2 linked regions of the Drosophila melanogaster genome follow. The protein of the gene in region 1 purifies or fractionates together with the protein of each later gene. This does not show direct contact. Each region holds a gene or a part of one and is shown in the gene's direction. Other genes may lie near its edges.

Region 1 (8,793 bases):
GTGATAGCCGATCCTACAACTGTGCCGCGAGTCCGGAGGCAGAGATGTTGTCGCCAGCCCCAGCCGTTTTTCTGGCTTCGCGACACACCAGCACCGGGGCCACACAGATTTCCACCTCTAGCCGTTGCCGGTGACGACCGTACTGGATATACTCCCGCCAACAGGGCACGGGACTGGCTGCACCAATGCGCATTCGCGGCGCATCCGCCTGAGCCGAGGTGGCGAAACTGTCATCTAGAACCTGCAGCACTGCCTCCGGGTTAATCTGCGGATGAAAGAATTATCAGTTCAAAACTAAAACATACTACACATAAATGCGTACTCACAAATTGGGATTTGCAGACGTATCGGTGAGCAGTGAGCGCTGCCTTTGCAGCGGCAGCACGTGTGTTTTTCCACTTGGAGCCCGCTGTGGTAAGGATCGCCTGATAGGCCAACGTGTGCACATGTATGCGCGAGATAGAGCGACGCTTGGCATCGCTTGAGCTTCGGTCTTCGTAATCTTCAAGGAGACTAATGAAAACCTGCCGCATCTGGTCAAGGGTGTGAGCTATGCGCGGATTCCAGTCGGTGGCTAAGGTCGTCCGTCCGTGAGCAAGAACCTGCTGCAGGTTAGAGAGCTCTTGTTCGTTCATTCCCAGGGAGTCTACGTAGGGCAGTACAAAGTGTCGAAGCTGTTGAAGCAGCTGCAACTCCACGTAAGAAGCCATCTCGAAGTGGTTCAGAGTGCCCTGCGGCTGGCTGGTTAGTTGCCTTTGTACTTGCTGCAGGCGCGCCTCTCGCTCACCAGACTTAAAGGTGAACATGTCCATCATTTGCAGCCCGCTGACAACCAACAGCTGTGGCTGATACATCTTCAAAGCATCCGTCAACTGCTCCACGGCCCGCAGATGCGGATTATTTCGATCGTTGTGCAGAATGTAGCGATTGGCGCGAGGTGCCACATATGGGCCCCATTTGTCACCAGCCTTGTACTCCAGAATAAGATGGATGTCATCGTTTGGAATCTCGTCACCAGCCAGACGAATCTCCTTTGGCAGCAGTGGCCGCAGCCTGAAGAAGTTTTTACATTAAGTTCCATGAAATAATTTGTTATTCAGATAGGTAATTACTTTCTAGACATGTGGGCGCCCAGTAGCACTTGAGCTCCCTCCATAAAAAAGCGCACGGCCATCAGTGGGGCGTTACCACCCATGTACCAATTGATCCTCTCCTTGTCCATCACCTTGGCGTAGCCCACCAGCTGTGTGAAGAGGGTACTGTTTGCCATCACTCGCCTGAAAAGTGGACCAGTATGAAATACTTTGTTAGTAACTTGCATAGCCAATAAAATATTGGATATCCAAGATCCTTCCATGCAACTTACTCCGCTGCAGCGCCGTTCTGAAAGTAATAGGCAAAGGACTGCAAGAGCTCGTCCTCGTTGTTCACGACCGCCCGAGATCCTGTAGTGGCTGCTGCGACTGGAATCCGGCGCCCATAGTAGCGATCCAGAAATTCAGTGGCGTTTATCTGCAAGTCCGTGCAGGCTCCGTAGCCGATGGCCACCTTGGGTGCCGGTTCCAACGCGGTCCGCTTCAGGGATCTGAAATACAAATGCATATATAGCTAGTGCTGCAGTGTAGCCGAATGAACTCACCCCTCGATTGCCAGGAGACCGGTGAGCAGGACAGTCGTCCTGTTAAGCGTCTGCAGGGCGATGAATGCCTGCCAAATTATGGAAACAAAGGCCGTTAGGACGGAACAGCCGGTGATCCATCCCATGTATCGCAGGGCGGTCATTGTGGGCGTGGATTGTTGTGTGATTGGTTCGCCTCAGTTTGGGCTTTCCAAACTATTTTGTATGTGACAATCCGCCTTCCGGCTACGCCAACTTTCTTATCAGAATTATCGCTCTTTTTCCTTTGAGATGCTTCAAAGCTAGCGATGACACTATCTGCAGTTCTTGGACTACAGCGATAGTCCAACCAACAGTTACATTTGAATGCTATACTGCTATACTATATTTGAATATATTAAAATAAATTTAAATTGAAATGTGCACTTATAAGAGCGCCCTCTCAATGTGTTAATTTGTTCAATGCATAGAACAGCTTACATTGTGTTTAAACATCTTTTTTTGAGCATATTTTTTCGCTAACATATTGGGAATATGTATGTTTATTTGATCCTCGTAGTTTATATTTTAATTTTTTAAGCAAACAAATAAAATTGCAATTGCTTATCGATGACAACAATGGTTTGAGCCACAGCTACTCGAAGCTGGACAGTTCAGTATTGAGCAACTGTAGTTTCGATAAACGATATGTTCCGAAATAACGCCTTCTGCTATCGAAGACAGTCTTGCGTCTGTAAAGTGATAAAATAATTTTACAATTGAGTCGCCTTGGGAATTTCAGTCACTCTCCACACACCAAATACATAGCTCGTGTAACAGCCTGATTTAGTCGAACAGCACATCATTTGCCGGAATCGTTAGCGAATAGCAGCACTCTCCGCTAAGTCGGCACGCTAATTGGCAAAACCGATTCGATTCCAGGGAAGGAGACACACTGATAGACGGGTGAAGAACAAAAGGAGAAGGAAAACAACAGTTAATCGTCAAATTTTACAGGCAAAAGGTGAGCAACTACGCCTTGCACACAAACAACCGCATCGACGAGCAAACGCACGCACACACAAGCCTTATCGCCTGCGTAGTGGTTGGTGTATATAAAAAATTAAAACAATATTTGCACATCCGATTATTACTATAATATTTCGCGTCCACATATATTAGCAAGTGTGCGTGCGCCTGCCCTGGATTTACGTGCCAGTGTTTGTGCGAGCCTAGCGCGTTTGTGTCTGTGTGTGTGTGTAATGAAATGCAATTTTCTCTTGGCATTTTGCGCGCCTCCGATTTTCGCTGCCCCTCTGCAATTCCGCCGCCTCCCCCTCCTTTTGCCATTTAAGTTCTCCCGTGTCGCCATTGTCGCACCTTGGCTAATCCCAGTACTATCACCCGTAGGCAGCACACAATGAGCTCCGCGGAAGAAAACAGCAACAGCCCGGCCACCACGCCCCAGGACACCGAGACCACCGAGCAGGCTAACCTCACGGATCTCGAGAAGATCGAGGAGGAGAAACTCAAGTCCAAGTATCCCAGCGGAATGCGCGTGCCGGGCGGACACTCGGCCTTCCTCCAGAAAAGGCTGCAGAAGGGGGTAAGTGATTAGCACAATTCGAAAACAATCAAACAATAAGTTTACTAACTTTCGGTGTTCGGGGATACCCAAACCCTGTAATATGAATATCAATTAAAAATAATAATAATAATATTATTTAGTAGTATTTAGTACCCGTTGTTTAAAGGAAAATAACAATTCATGTTTCCTCTATTCTAAGATCCATACTATTTGGCAATTGCTTTCTGAAATCAATGAAACTCAATAATCACAGCGCATAGTTTATATCAACTTGATGATCTGGTAAACGAAATCAGATTGTTACATTAAGTTTGCATTTGGAAGATATCTCCGTTTTAGTTCTAAAAAGCTATTTGATTATATAAGAGAAATCTAATATGTATTCCTTCATATCCTTCCCACAGCAAAAGTTCTTCGACTCGGGCGATTACCAGATGGCCAAGCAGAAGGGTGGCGGCGTCAAGCAGGTCTTTGCCAACAAGGTGACCACCGGGGAGGCCATTCCCACGCCCGAAACCGTGCCGGCGCGCAAGACTTCGATCATCCAACCCTGTAACAAGTTCCCGGCGACGAGCTAATTTACTCACCACTCAACACTCACCTCTACTGTATCCACAACCTCAAGTGCAGCCAGTTCTCCGTTCCCCACTTCAAATGCTCTATACCTAATTTTAATGAAAAACCTAATGCTAAGATGGCTGCTGCCGGATTGTGCGGGCATTTCGCGACAGTTTAAACTGAAATTCTAGCACCATGTTCCGTGTTTCCCCCGTTAAATTCAATCGCCATCCGCACTGGCCAATCAATCTCAAGATCAACTCATCAGTCCATCTCTCAGGCCGGGGAAGCGAAGATGGCGAGCCGAGCAGCGCGAAATTTATTGCAACAGTTATATATATCTCTATCTTTGTAACATTAAACTAACTTACCCTCGTCGTACATAGTTGTAAGTATTACGAGCATAATAAATTTAAGTTGGAGCAGCCAGCCACACACACACACACGTTCTCGTACATTACTGGGATTCCATCAAAAGTTTTTAAAAGTTCACCATGTTCTATGGAAAATGTTTTTATATTTTTTTTTTTGCATTCATTCTATAAGCAGTTGACGGAATTTCACCAACTAATTGATAATAACATAGGTACTGCTGCTTGCAGAGCTAAATTTTTGATGCAAAAACCAAACAGTCGAGTTAAAATGAATTTGTAAATCAAGCAGAGCTAAAATAAATGTATGTACGTATACTTATAAATGTGTTGATTTCCTGGGGCGCTAACCCAACAACTGAATCGGAAATGTGCCATACAAATGTTTACTTAAATTATAAGTGCCCGGAGTGGAGTCTAATTAACTAGGAAACGTTCCTTCGAGCGGTGTGGTATGGTAATTGGTTGTTCAAATTGGACGGGAACGAAATGAAATCACCAAAATAGGTGGGAAATACACAATATTTAATACAAATAGATGGGTTCATATATTTTCATACGAACATCGTGTTTTAGTTAAAAGTTAATCGAACTTGCAAAGTGAGTTTTAGGCCCAATTAAAAAAGTTTTAACCAATAAAATCGCTTTTTGGACCACAGTACAAATGAAATCAATCAAATATCCAAGTTTTCCACCAATCGATACCAGCAGATTAAGCATCCATATTGCCACACTTCTGGAACTATCGATAGTATCGCATAAACAGTGTTTTGTACCAACTCTAGGCGGAAGGCGCAGCGGTGATAAAAGAGAAAAAGTGATCTTTAAATGCAATTTTTCGGTTCCAAATTGCATTTGTTATGTGCTACGCGATAAGCACCGCATCGCACACCGTTTTTCGAAGTTCGCAAATGGCCAAGATCAGCGGAAAGACGAGAAAACACGCTGCAATGTAGATGCCCACGAGCAGCCGCGGCAGCAGCAATAACAAAAGCAAAAGTGAAATTAGCGCCGCCAGAGAAGTGCAAGTGGTCAAACAAACGGCGGCGCCATGGAGAACCTCAAGATAAGCGACAAACTGTTCGAGGATGTGATATACTTTGTGCTGGGAAATCTGGACGAGGAGGTAAAAAGCTGCAAAGCGAATCTTTCGTTTGCTGTTGCTGTACTTGCATTGTGCGTACGTGTGTGTGTGTTTGTGTGAGCGGGTGTGCGTGCGTCTCACAGGGTGGGTTGGAGCGCGGGCGGACAGGGTAACCCGGGCACCTTGGCAAATGCGCGCCATAAAAGTTGCCGGCAAATTGCCGTGTTTGTGTGTTTGTGTACTGGAGTTTGTATTGGTGCTAAATCAACTGATTTTTGTTTTGGTTCTCCTCTACCAACGGAAGCAACATATTTGGCACCCTTGAAAAAAGAATTCTTATTTGGTCACATACATATATCTTTTATATATACTGTTTAAATCAAGTAATGTAATAAATAATTATTATGCCTTTGCCTTGCAGATCGAACGCTTTCTTAAGAGCGGTGGCGCTCAATCGAAACTGTTCCTGTCGGACCAAATCACCCACATGATATGCGCCACCAACTACAACGAGGAGGAGCTGTCCATGAACCTGGACCTCTACAGTGCAATTCCCGTAACGGAGCAATGGATCGTGCACAGCGCCAAGCTAGGCCGAATGGCCTCGACACGGGCTTTCGACCCGAGTCCGAATCAAATGCGGTTGATGCGCGGCATTCGGGTGGCCATCACCAATGTAGTGGCAGGGGATCGAAGGCGTCTTTACGCCATGCTGACATACCACGGTGCCGTAGTCACGCACAGCTTTGGGGCCACCAACACGCATCTGGTGTGCGGTGCAGCCAACGGTGGCATCTACAACAAGGCGCTGGCCCTGCCCAAGAATGCCATCATTATTGTGACGCCCGACTGGGTGACAGATAGCCTTAAGTACAAAAACTGCATGCCCGTGGAGACGTATCATCCGAGACTGCTGAAGCCCATTGAAAAGCAGCGAACACAAAAGCAGCAGGCTACGCAGCAGCAACAAATTCAGCAGCAGCAGCAATTGCAGCACCAACACCAGATGCAGCAACAACAGCAGCAGCAGCAGCAGCAGCAACAACAACAACAACAACAACAACAACAACAACAACAACAACAACAACAACAGCAGCAGCAGCAGCAGCAGCAACATCAACAGCAGATTATCCAGCAACAGGCAACGGCTACTTCTGCCCTATCTGACATCCTTGGCTTTGGCGAGGACAGCGTAGCTGCCAAGAGCATCGCTAGCATTAAGTCTCAGCTGCAGGCTTCAGCTGAACAAATACAGCAGCAACAGCTGCCCGTACCCGCACAGCAGCAGGTGGTCTTTGTGCGCCCACAGCCACAACCCCAACAGCCAGCACAACAATCCCCTCACCAGTTACAGCAAGGTGGTCCTCAAGCACCTACTCCTGCACCACACCCGCAGCATCAACAACAATTAATAATTCAGCAGCAGAAGATTATCCCCGCCAACCTGCAGCAGCAACCACAAAACCAGCAGCAAATCAAAAATATCCTACAGCAGAGACAAATGAAAACAACGCAGCAGTCTCAGCAACAGCAACAAATCCAAATGCAACTAATGCAGCAGGAGCAACAGCCGCATCCTCAACCACTTCAACAGCAGCTTGCGCAACAACACCCGCAACAAATCGCACAGCAACTTCCACAGCAACTTTCTCAACAACATCCACAACAAATTCCTCAGCAACAGCAGTCGCCCCGACTGCCAACGACTCCAACAGGCCGGCAGACACCACGTACACCATCTACAACGCCGCAGCCCGTGCAATCCCCTCAGCACCACCAGCAGATAGTTCAACAGCAACAGGTGGTGCAGCAACAAGTGGGCCAGCAGCAAACGATGGTACAGCAGCAGCAGATAGTTCAGCAACAGCAAATTGTTCAGCAGCAAGTTGTTCAGCAACAGCAGCCACAACAACAATCTGTGCCGGTTTCGCCGCAAATCATACACCAACATCTAATGCGGCAGCAACAAATTTTGAACCAGAATCAAATGCAATTGCAGCAAATCGTGCAAAGCGGACAAGCATTGACGCCGCAACAGCAGCAGCAACAGAGACAAATTCAACAACAGCTGCAACAAGTTATGCAGCAGCAGCAGCAATTACAGATGCAAATGCAGCAGCAACAACAGCAACAGAATCTACAACAACAACAGTCGCCTCGGATGGTGCAAAACCGTTCGCCGGTAATGCCACCAAGTACGCCATCCCCATCGTTGCAGCAACAGCAGCATCATGCAACTAGCAATATGTTGCCGCCACAATCGCCGCGACAACTGCAATCCCCAGCTCCCCAAATGACTCCGCCACCTCCGCCCTCGCCGCAAAACGCCCAGCAACAACATTTGCGCCAGCAACAGCAAATGCAACAGAATCGACAACAGCACATGATGGGCTCGCCACAACAACCTCAACCACAATCTATGATGTCGCCGCAACAGCAGCAACAGATGCAGCCCTTTCAACAGCCCGTCCATCAACAGCAGCGCATGCAATTGCAGCAGCAACAACAATTGGCCCAACAGCAGCAACAACAGCAACAGCAGAGTCCCCAGCATATTTCTCCGCAATCGCCCCAGATTTCTCAAACTCCACCCATGCAGGCAAAGCTGCATCAGCATCAGGTGGTTCCTGGACAAGCCACTCAGCCGCAGCAATCATTCTCCCAGCAGAAGCCTATCGACCCAACGGACCCCGTTCAGGTAGCTCAAGTGCTCAGTCGATCTGCATTGAGCAGCAATCAGGACTCGTTGATAATGAGGCAGCAACAATTGAAGCAGCAACAACAGATGCAACAGCAACAACAAATGGCACCGCAGCCCCAGCAGCAGCAAATGGCACAGCAACCGCAACAGCAGCAGCAGCAGCAACCACAACAGCAGCACACCCCTTCTCCGCGACAATCGCCACTGCAACAGCAACCTACTACCCCCACCTTGCAACAGCAGCCAAACCAACAAAACGCTCAAGTAAAATAAAGAACATATATTATTTTTTACCGGAAATTAATGATTACTTCTTTTTAGCAAATACAGCAGCAACAACAACAACAACAGCAGCAGCAGCAGCAACAACAACAGCAGCAGCAACAACAGCAGGTCCTGACGCAGCAACAGCCACAGCCTGGACAACAGCAACAAGTCATCACTCAGCGCCATGTTATAAACACATCCACGGCTCAAGGACAACAAATCATTCAAAGTCATATGTCTTTGGCCTTGCAGAAGCAGCAGCAATTGTTGCACGTTCAACAACAAGCACAACAGCAGCCGCAGCAGCAACAACAGATTACTCAAGTGCAGCAACTGCCACCGGCACAGCAGCAGCAACAGCTTCCGCAACAGCACCAAGTTCAACAACAACAACCGCAACAAGTTCAGTTTACACAACAGCAGCAAATAGCACTTGGAGCTGGTGGTCAAGTGCGGATAATTCAACAAACCATACAACGTCCACCAACCAATGTTCAGCAACAGCAGCAGGTTCCACAACAACAACAACAGCAGATTATTGGTCAATTTCCCCAGCAACAGCAGCTGCAACAACAACCACAGCAGGTATGCCTACTCTTAGTTTTTTGTCTTTTTTTTTAAATATTT
Region 2 (8,793 bases), about 13 Mb from region 1:
CGGATCACCTTTCGATGGGTTCCGAATTGCGTGGGAATGTCACGGTGCGGGTGAAGAACGACCTCAAGGGCTTCCATCTGAACAACTTCGCGTATGTGGGCCCCATTGTCATGGGTTTCGGAGGCTTCATTGTGGTGGCCTCCTGCGTGATGACCTTCGAGGCACGGGACTCCGCCGCTAAGGTCGTTCCAGCACGGTTGAGAGCTGGAGGAGGCGGCAGCAGCAAGAATCCCTCGCGGAGCAACCAAGGAAGCTCCGCGTCACAGCGTCGCGGGATGGGTAAGTTCTTAAAGTTCACACCATTAAATTTGGGTGAAAGAATAAAGTATTCATAAATATAATTTGATGGATGATCTGTAGGTGCCCAGTACCAGTCGAGTCGTTGGGATCAGCACTTCGGTGTGTTCCGCTCCTCGCCGGGCGATCCTCACCAGCAGCCGCAGACCGCCTGCATCTCCACCACACATCCGCATCAGCATTCGCATCCGCAGCAGCCATTCGATCGCGAGGCACTCACCGCCGAACTGGTCCAGTTCTCCAGGTCACTCAGGTACAGTTGTGGGCTATTTCGGGGAGATCACCTCATTGGGAACAGGACCCAAATTATATGTATATATCAAAATTCACTTATACGATTGGCTGTTTCTCGCTCTTACCGCCCGCTTTTCGCTTTCCGAAATCTGAAATCTGAAATCCGCATCCGCATCCCGCTTCCGCCAACCATCAGTGCATCCAATCGCTTTTGTCCCCAGTGGCGCCGCCTTTCGGGGGCTGGTTCCGCTCCGGATTTGTCCGGATCCCATGCTCATGCTAATACCACCAACTCCACCAATGCCACAAACCACCAAAACCCAACCACCACAGTCACCACTAATTACTACAATTTGCTCTCACTGAATCGATTGTCGCCGTTGGATTGGGAACTGTATTGCTCGCACCGCCGTCACCGTCGTCACCATCACCGCCACTCGCACCACCACCACCACCACCACCACAAATCCTCAAGCAGCAGTGTGCGGCGGGTGCGCCCAGTGCGACCGGGCTTGGGAGCGGGATCGCAACCCTCCGGTGGAGGCGGAGGAGGAGGTGGAGGAGGAGCTGGCTCCTCTTCGTCGGCCCGGATCATCAGCAATTCCTCCAGCCTGATCCAGAGGGCCACCAGGGAGTGCTCCCTGCTCCAGCCACCAGCTGCTAGTCGTGTCTACTGGCAGGCCTCCTCCTTTGACGGCGGCAGTAATCATCCGCCCGGATTGGGCATGAGTTCCGGCGCAGAGAAGCGCAGTGAGCGGAACAAGCGGTCGGACACCGCCAAGCGGCACGTTCTCTCCCGGCAACGACCCATCGAGCAGGAGGAGGCACGGGATCACAGTCGCAGTCCGCTGGGACACAGGCGGTGAGTTCAAGGTGTCCAATAGCTCCTCTAGCTGGCTAATAACATATACCATTGCTTACAGGAACTCTACAATGTCGGACTCCTCGTATAGCGGCCGCTGGACGGCTCGCTGTGCCTCCATGGCCAGTCGAACATCCAGTATCGAGTCTCGGCGTGTTCAAGTAGATCTTCATAGTCCCGAAGTGATGCCCAAATCCATTCTCCGTTCGCCCAAGCGCTACAGCTCGGGTCCATCGGCCACGCCTTCCGTGGAGAAGGAGTTTCGGTATGTCCATGTTGTACCCCTCCAAATCAAGTTCCCAAATAGATTTTAACTCGGTTTTCCTTGCAGGAGTCAGTTATCTGTATGCTCGGAGCCACCGCCACCGGTGCGCCAGCTGTCGGGCCAATCCAGCATGGAGCCAGCCGTTCCCGAGGAGAGTCTGGATCAGTCGGAGGAGCAGGAGGAGACGACACAGCCCAAGGCGTCCTACGAGGAGATCACCGAACTGCAGCACCACACGAGCAGCTTGCCGCCGAAAAAGGCTCGTCCGGGATTCCTGCCCCTCGCGCGCAGCGAGCAGGAGGAGGATCCGAGGCCAGTGGCCAATCCGCTATACAGGAGCAATAGTTCCCGCCAGTTCTACAGGCCCAAGAAAGGTGTTCCAAACGAGCGGGATGATTCCGTTTTCTACATACGGTCCATGGAAAGGGGATTGGCTGAAAACGGTGGGTGTGGCAGTGCGGATGAGCAGAGGTACGATTCACTGAGGGTCATCAACGAGAGGAGGACCACTTTGCTGAAAGCCGACTCCCAGGGCTCCTTGGGATCTGCGGAGCGAAAGTTGAGCAGCTTCTCCCTCAAAATGCCGGAGATCACGGAGCGGGAGAACTCGATTGAGATCGAAATAGATGCGGATGAGTTGCATCCAAGTACCCCGCCTTCTCCACCCCCGCCTCCGACACAGCCGGGCAATTCCCACACAACTGAATCAATCCAGGATCAGGATCCCTAGGATCGAATGGATACACCCACTTCTTAGCGTTTAACCAGCAGCCATCGACAATTACTTTAGCAACTCGATTGATGTTTGTATATGTATTTTTGTGCGTGTGCGTGTCGTTTATTTTTATAACCCCTAGATCGTATCTAGATAAGTGTTAAACGAGTATATATATATATATATATATATATATACCAGCAATTATCTCTGTGTTGCCTCGGGCCTAAGCAATCAACTAACGAACTAACTTCAACGACGTCTATTAACTTGATAAACTGATGTTATTAAAAATATAACTTCAGTTGCGATCGAAATAATTATAGCATGAAACGTAGAAGGATTGGTGTGCATTTTTTTTAGATTTCCTCCAATAGTCTCAGATTTATTTTCAGACATATTTTCCAACTGATTAAGGTTGTTTTTAGTTCATATTTCAAAGAGCTGAAAAATCAAACGATCTTTTTGAATCAAAATAAAGCCTATTCTTGGAAGCGCAGTTGGTTGGAAAACACATAGAGATATTATTTTGATCGCAGCTGTCGTCACTAGTCTTCCTATTGTTAGAATATGAGATATATCACGTTATTACGATCCCATATCTGGGGCCGAAATGTCCCGTTGGGTGTACCGTTGTTATCAATACTATTTATCGGTTAATGTTAATGCTAATCTCTACGAGGATGTGTACTCACAACGATCTAAATACGAGGGCGTGGCCAAATAAATGCCAGACTTGTGCATACCCTGTAAAAAGTACAATCAGCTTATAGTAAAGACTGATTAGGCAAATTGATTTACAAAATTGGTCAATGGCGAATGGAAAACTAGTCAATGAAAAGCAATCGGAACACGGATTAAGTTCGATGCACATATATAATTAGTTGTACGCTCTCAGTGTTAATCCCCACATTACAGCATTATATGTACCTATACGATTATATATCTGAGTGTTTATTTGTAATCCATGCAATTACAATGTTTCTCGTTCCATAATAGATGTTGAAAATCCCACAGCAATCCGAAAATTCAAAATGCCCGAGTTGGTTTAAATGGAAGGCCGAACACGAATCTCTGTTGATGTGCAGCGAATTTTTGTATAATTGTTCATTGCATGTTTAATATTGCATAAATAAAAACAAACAATGTGTGTCTAATAATAGTCTTGGTGTTTTGTATTGTCGAATACGTCCGAAATAGGTTTTAATAACATAGTCAAGCATTCAAATTACCCGCCAATTTTCCACAGCGTTGCCATCGGTTGCAGGCGGGTGGCCACCCTGGCCATCGATAGCACGCGCCGACGATTATCGCACTGTCATCGAATTGCGACAACCCTGGGAGCAGGAAGGTTTTTCGGCCGAAAAATAGAGAACAATAAAACGTTTGTGGCCCTCAGCAATATAGGGATCGCCGAGTGCCGTGTTAACCGGTGACCTCTCGCCCGTGCCCCGAGACCTGTGACCCCGCGCAACTGCCCGCCTCAATGTTAATTTGTGGCAGCAAAAGCAGCAGAATTTGGAGCAGCAGCGTGTAAAAAGTTGCGGAATTATCGTGGCACCGCGGAGAAAGAGAGAGCAGGAGAGAGATTGCCGCACGCATAAAATATGATCAAATTGCAAAATTGATTTCAATTGGCCACTCAACAAAAGGTACGTTCGATACACCCGCCCCGGCGCCCACGAAATTAGCACAATAATAACACCAAACACCTGGCTCCTCCATTTACATAAAACTCGGAAGAAGTAAACCTGGCAACTAGTAGGGAATCGTGGACTTTTTGCTTCCAGCGAACGTTATTTTCCCATTTCTTCCATTTGCCCTGCCTCTCCGTGTGTGCATGTGTGCGTGTGTGTGAGTGCGTGCATGTGCTGGTGTATGTGTGTTGTGTTCGGCAGAGATGAGTAATTTAAAACTCCCAAAGAACAGCAATGAATGTCTGTCAAATGCAGGTAGTTTTCAAGATGAACGACCAGCTTCCATGCCGAAGTCATTTCACTTTCCATGACCAACTTCTAATCTAGAAAAACCCATTAAAAGAGCCCTTTGAACCTGTTACATTCGTGACCGATATTTACGTGAGCCGGCAAATCGTCGCAATTACTCATCTCTAGCGGGCGCCGTGTGGCACCAAAAAATCGTCCAGAAAATGTCCAGAAATGCAATGGGCAGCAGTTAGTTTTGTTTGATAAATATGCATTTATAATGCGTCTACATTTGAGATAATTCCCGTGTAAGCCTTATTTAAATTATGCGTCTCTTTTGCTTTGTTTATTTGATTTTCTCATTACACCGTCTCATCACAGCTGTGCGGCCTTGCCAGATCGCTTTTCTGGCTGCGGCACGCGGAGTGGCGTGAATTGAAAATCGCATTTAATTAGAATTTAACCTGCGTCGGGTAAAATATAATGAATTTGTGCGCTCCAGCTGCATAAGCTAGTGTTAGAATTGAAGTTACTTTATTGATGTGATATATTTAAACGTGCGGCTCAAGATTTGTAGAATCAGCCATAGTATTCAACAGTTGGTCTTGTCAATAGAAATTGTTTTGAATCATTACCCTCATGCCCCCATACTTTATATTAATAAATTTAATTAGGGGACTCTAATAAATGGTGTATTCTTCTTTCGACTGCGTGCATAATTAATATTGATTGCCCAGTCTTATATAATTATCTCCTTAATGTACTAATTAATCAATTGCTATGCGCTCTCTTTCCGATCAGCAAAAACCAATTTCAATGTTTGGCGCCTGCTGCGACTCTTGAGACTCGTCTAAATCCGCAAGTACATTCAACCGGAATTTGAGCCAAGTTTCTAACCTTTGGCCTCAAAGCCATGGCATCCACGTCGTCGTCGGCTTCCACGACGGCGGGATCCTCCGGCGCGGCAGGCGGAGGAGCAGCCACGCCCATCTCAACGCCCTCGACGCCCCAGCCGTCTGGCGTGAGCAGCGGACCCGGCAATAATGGCAACAACAACAACAACCATCACAACAACACCCTGGTCTCACCATCCGGGAACAACAACTTGATGACGCCCGTCCAGGCATTCACTCCAACCGGACAGCCAGTGTACAATCCACCCGTCTATATGTCCGCCCACGGAGGACACCCGCACGCCGGAGCCCACTACCCGGCCATGATCCCCGCTCCGATGCCCAGCAATCACGTCTATGTGAACAACGTCACTGCCAATGTGAACCTGCATGGCTGGCCGCACGGTGTTCCGGCTTATATGCCACCCGGAGGTCAGCATCACTACATTGGACACGGCGACATGCCCCAGGAGCAGGTGGGTGAAACAGAACAGGATCTATATACATCTGTTCGATAATTTCGCTAATTACTAAGCATTGTTACTAGCTAGCACCTACATTACTGACCTTCTTACTTGTTATTCCACACAGGGCAACACGGTGATGCCGCACCTGCAGCCTGTGCCCATTAATTTGGCGCCCCAGGGCGGATCTCCGAATCCCCATGGTCCTAGAATGGGTGGCGGACGGATGCGCGAACGAGGTCGTCCCCGTGGCGGTGGACCGCGACGCAATGACTACCATGGGCCACGTCACCTCCAGCAGCAGCAACTGATCACCCTTCCGCCGCAGCAGCAACTGCCACCGCCGGACGGAGCCAATCCCGGGCTGCAGCTTCAGCCGGATCAGATTGGTCAGCAGTTGGCGCCGCCGGAGGCGCACATGCAGCACTTACAGCAGTACTACGCGGCGCCACCAACCTACGCCTACGGGCCATATCCCTCTCCCTACTTCACACCCCAACATGCCAATGTGCAGCCTCCCCCCAATGCCACTGCTGCCCAACAGGCAACTGGAACGCCGCTCTTCATCTCCGGACCGCTGATGTATAATCCTGCGTGGTTCAACCACGGTGGGTACATCTACCCCATGATGCATCCGGCTGAGTACCAGTATGTACCCGAAGACGCTGGCCAGCCGGGAGTGGATGAACGTGGAGCTCAGCCGGACGGCGGAATGACCCAGATCTGGCACCAGGGCCCCATGTACGCAGAGGACTTCGAAGCGCTACAGCAGCAGCAACAACAGCAACAGGTGGCTGTGCATCCCAATGGAGGTGCTGTCAGTGTAGCCGATGAGCTCAACCACAATAGCTCATCCCTGCCCTCCTCGGAGACGTCGAGCATGATCAGTCCAAACTATCCCATCTACGATCCACAGATGCACGAAATGCAGCACCAAATGGGCGTGATGCAGATATTCGACGATGGTCAGATGGCCGCCCTGCAGCCAATCCATCCAGGAGCGGGTCCGCTACCGCAGGTAAGTGGGCCTGGCATACCGTGAAGCTAAAGACAATGGCAATACTAAACATTTCTTATCGTTAATAGTACGAGGACGAGCTAGCCGAGTGCGGAGCACCGCCACCAGGCCCTATTCCGGTGGCCTGGACTGCTGCCATGCCCCTCCCTCCGGATGCAGTCCAGCCAGCTCTGCTGCCGCCACCGCCGCATCACATTTTGCAGCAAACGTCGCCCCTGTTAATCGAACAGCCAGCCCAGTTGGTTCAGGCGCAACCTCCGCAGCCACCAACACCCACTCCCCAACAGCAGCAGCAACAACAACATCAGGAGCAAACGGGTGAGTGCTAGTGCTCGGTATTGATTAGTGATTCATTTGGGAATTGGAATTCATAATGCAAGCTGAGTTTCACTTTGTCTAATTTCCCATTTTCCATTCCGAACGTTCATAATCTTGCATCATTCGATGTTGCTCGATAAGGAATAATCAATCATTATGAATTGTATAAAAACTAGAACTTTGCACAGACCAATTGAAAAATGTGTATATTGGCTGAGTCATGAGTATTTGAATAATCTCCTCGTTGTGGGTCAATGACTTTTCACTATCTTACTATTATGAGTTTTTGTTGTCAACTAATTCTTAACTTCAGTCGATTTAGTTGTACATATGTGGTGTGTTCCTCTCTCAATATATATCACCATATATTTTATCACAACTATAAAGTAACTCTGCATTTGTCCTGTTATTGTTTTGGAGCAAGCTCAGCGATAAAGGCAGCGAGATCATTTTGTGGACTTTTAACACGACTTTCGCACAGAGTATCTGCGTTTCGTGTTACTTTACATCTATTGAAAGGCAGTTTTTCTATGTTGTACGAGTATATTGGAATTCGTCATGGCGTGCCTTCGATAGCGTCGCCTGGTCCCGTGTTCATATGCAGTTTTTTGCTTGCTTTGCTTTTCCACGCTTTCATTAACTATATTCTCTTCAGTTGCCTTACACTCTTCTCAGGTGTCAAATGACATAAACGTATTTACGTATGTGTGCACATTTTGCCATAGTTTGTGGGCCTTAATTATTCTGAATGCTTGTTGCCAGGCCTACCTTTGTTTTCGGTTGCCCTTTTGCTTTGGGCTGGGCTTTCATCTATCGTCGTGTAGTCGCCAACAGGTGTTGAACTTGTTGACCACCCATCCACCCACTGAATCATCCACAACCCACTCTCTAATCAGCAGCACAAGTCGCTTCCGTCCAGTTCTTTGTTATTATTATTTTGTTTGCTCGTTTCTTGTGTGCATTGTTCACGCTTATCAATCGAATGGGCGGACAAATCCGAGTGAAAATACCGGGTTGGGACGTCTCCCACTCCCAATCGTAATTGAGTGTTTTATGTGCCCATGCGGGGGATTCATCTAAACCTGTTGGCCTGGCGTATTATATTTGCCTGTTGTCAAGCCTAATTACCAAACAAAAGGCCAAGTGGACAGAGAAGATGTAGGGTAATCTATTCGGTTCTATTTGACCACTGTAGATTCTGTAGGTTCCATTTCAGTTAAAGAATTGTATGAAATTTGATCGATTGGCTACTAATCCCTTCCAGCGGCCAGTTTTCTTGGGCTGCGGTTGAAACAGAATCGCATATAGGTGCAGGTATTACTTCATTGATTATTAACACAGTAGATTGCAAGATTTTGATTGATTTATGGTTATTCTAGAGATATTTAATTGTTTTTTTTTTTAATTGCCTCTCGTGTTTGAATGCACATGGAATGGGAATTGGGAATCTCTCACGAAATGGAGGAGGTCTTGCCAACTGATTGGGTTCCAGTTGTTTTCATAACCGTATCTGTATCTACGTTGATTCAACGAGCACCGTCTAGTCGAGAGGTTTTTCTTTTATGGCTGTTTTCGAAGCACTTGGCTTTGCAGACGGCTTTCATATGGCGATATCGCCAAGTGTTTGTCCACTGACTAGAGAATGATACACACTACAGTATTCCTCTGGTCGGCCACAATTAGTGAAGCCATAACTCATCGTGGCAAATTGATTAGGCTAATCATTTGGGTCGAGGGTTTTACGAGTAAGCTTGTTATGATCTGATTTTCCGCGACATCGAAGGGGTTTCACGTTCTTTGAT

What was found.
Region 2: the proteins of Ptip (region 1) and Usp10 purify together in Drosophila melanogaster (affinity purification with mass spectrometry, with the first as the bait; one large-scale study listed by BioGRID). This does not show direct contact.

The regions. Positions count from the first base shown.
Region 1 is NT_037436.4:14,025,217-14,034,009, reverse strand, and holds the start of Ptip (PAX transcription activation domain interacting protein), read left to right. Parts: upstream 1-4,888; 5' UTR 4,889-5,165; coding exon 5,166-5,240; intron 5,241-5,619; coding exon 5,620-8,163; intron 8,164-8,220; coding exon 8,221-8,751; intron 8,752-8,793. Other genes in the region: CG6650 (uncharacterized protein), read right to left, coding at 14-265, 327-1,053, 1,113-1,277, 1,367-1,585, 1,640-1,782; endos (endosulfine), read left to right, coding at 3,018-3,203, 3,590-3,763.
Region 2 is NT_037436.4:868,209-877,001, forward strand, and holds the start of Usp10 (ubiquitin specific protease 10), read left to right. Parts: upstream 1-4,702; 5' UTR 4,703-4,771; intron 4,772-5,099; 5' UTR 5,100-5,211; coding exon 5,212-5,667; intron 5,668-5,782; coding exon 5,783-6,673; intron 6,674-6,741; coding exon 6,742-6,991; intron 6,992-8,793. Other genes in the region: CG12502 (uncharacterized protein), read left to right, coding at 1-279, 361-550, 728-1,393, 1,455-1,658, 1,725-2,388.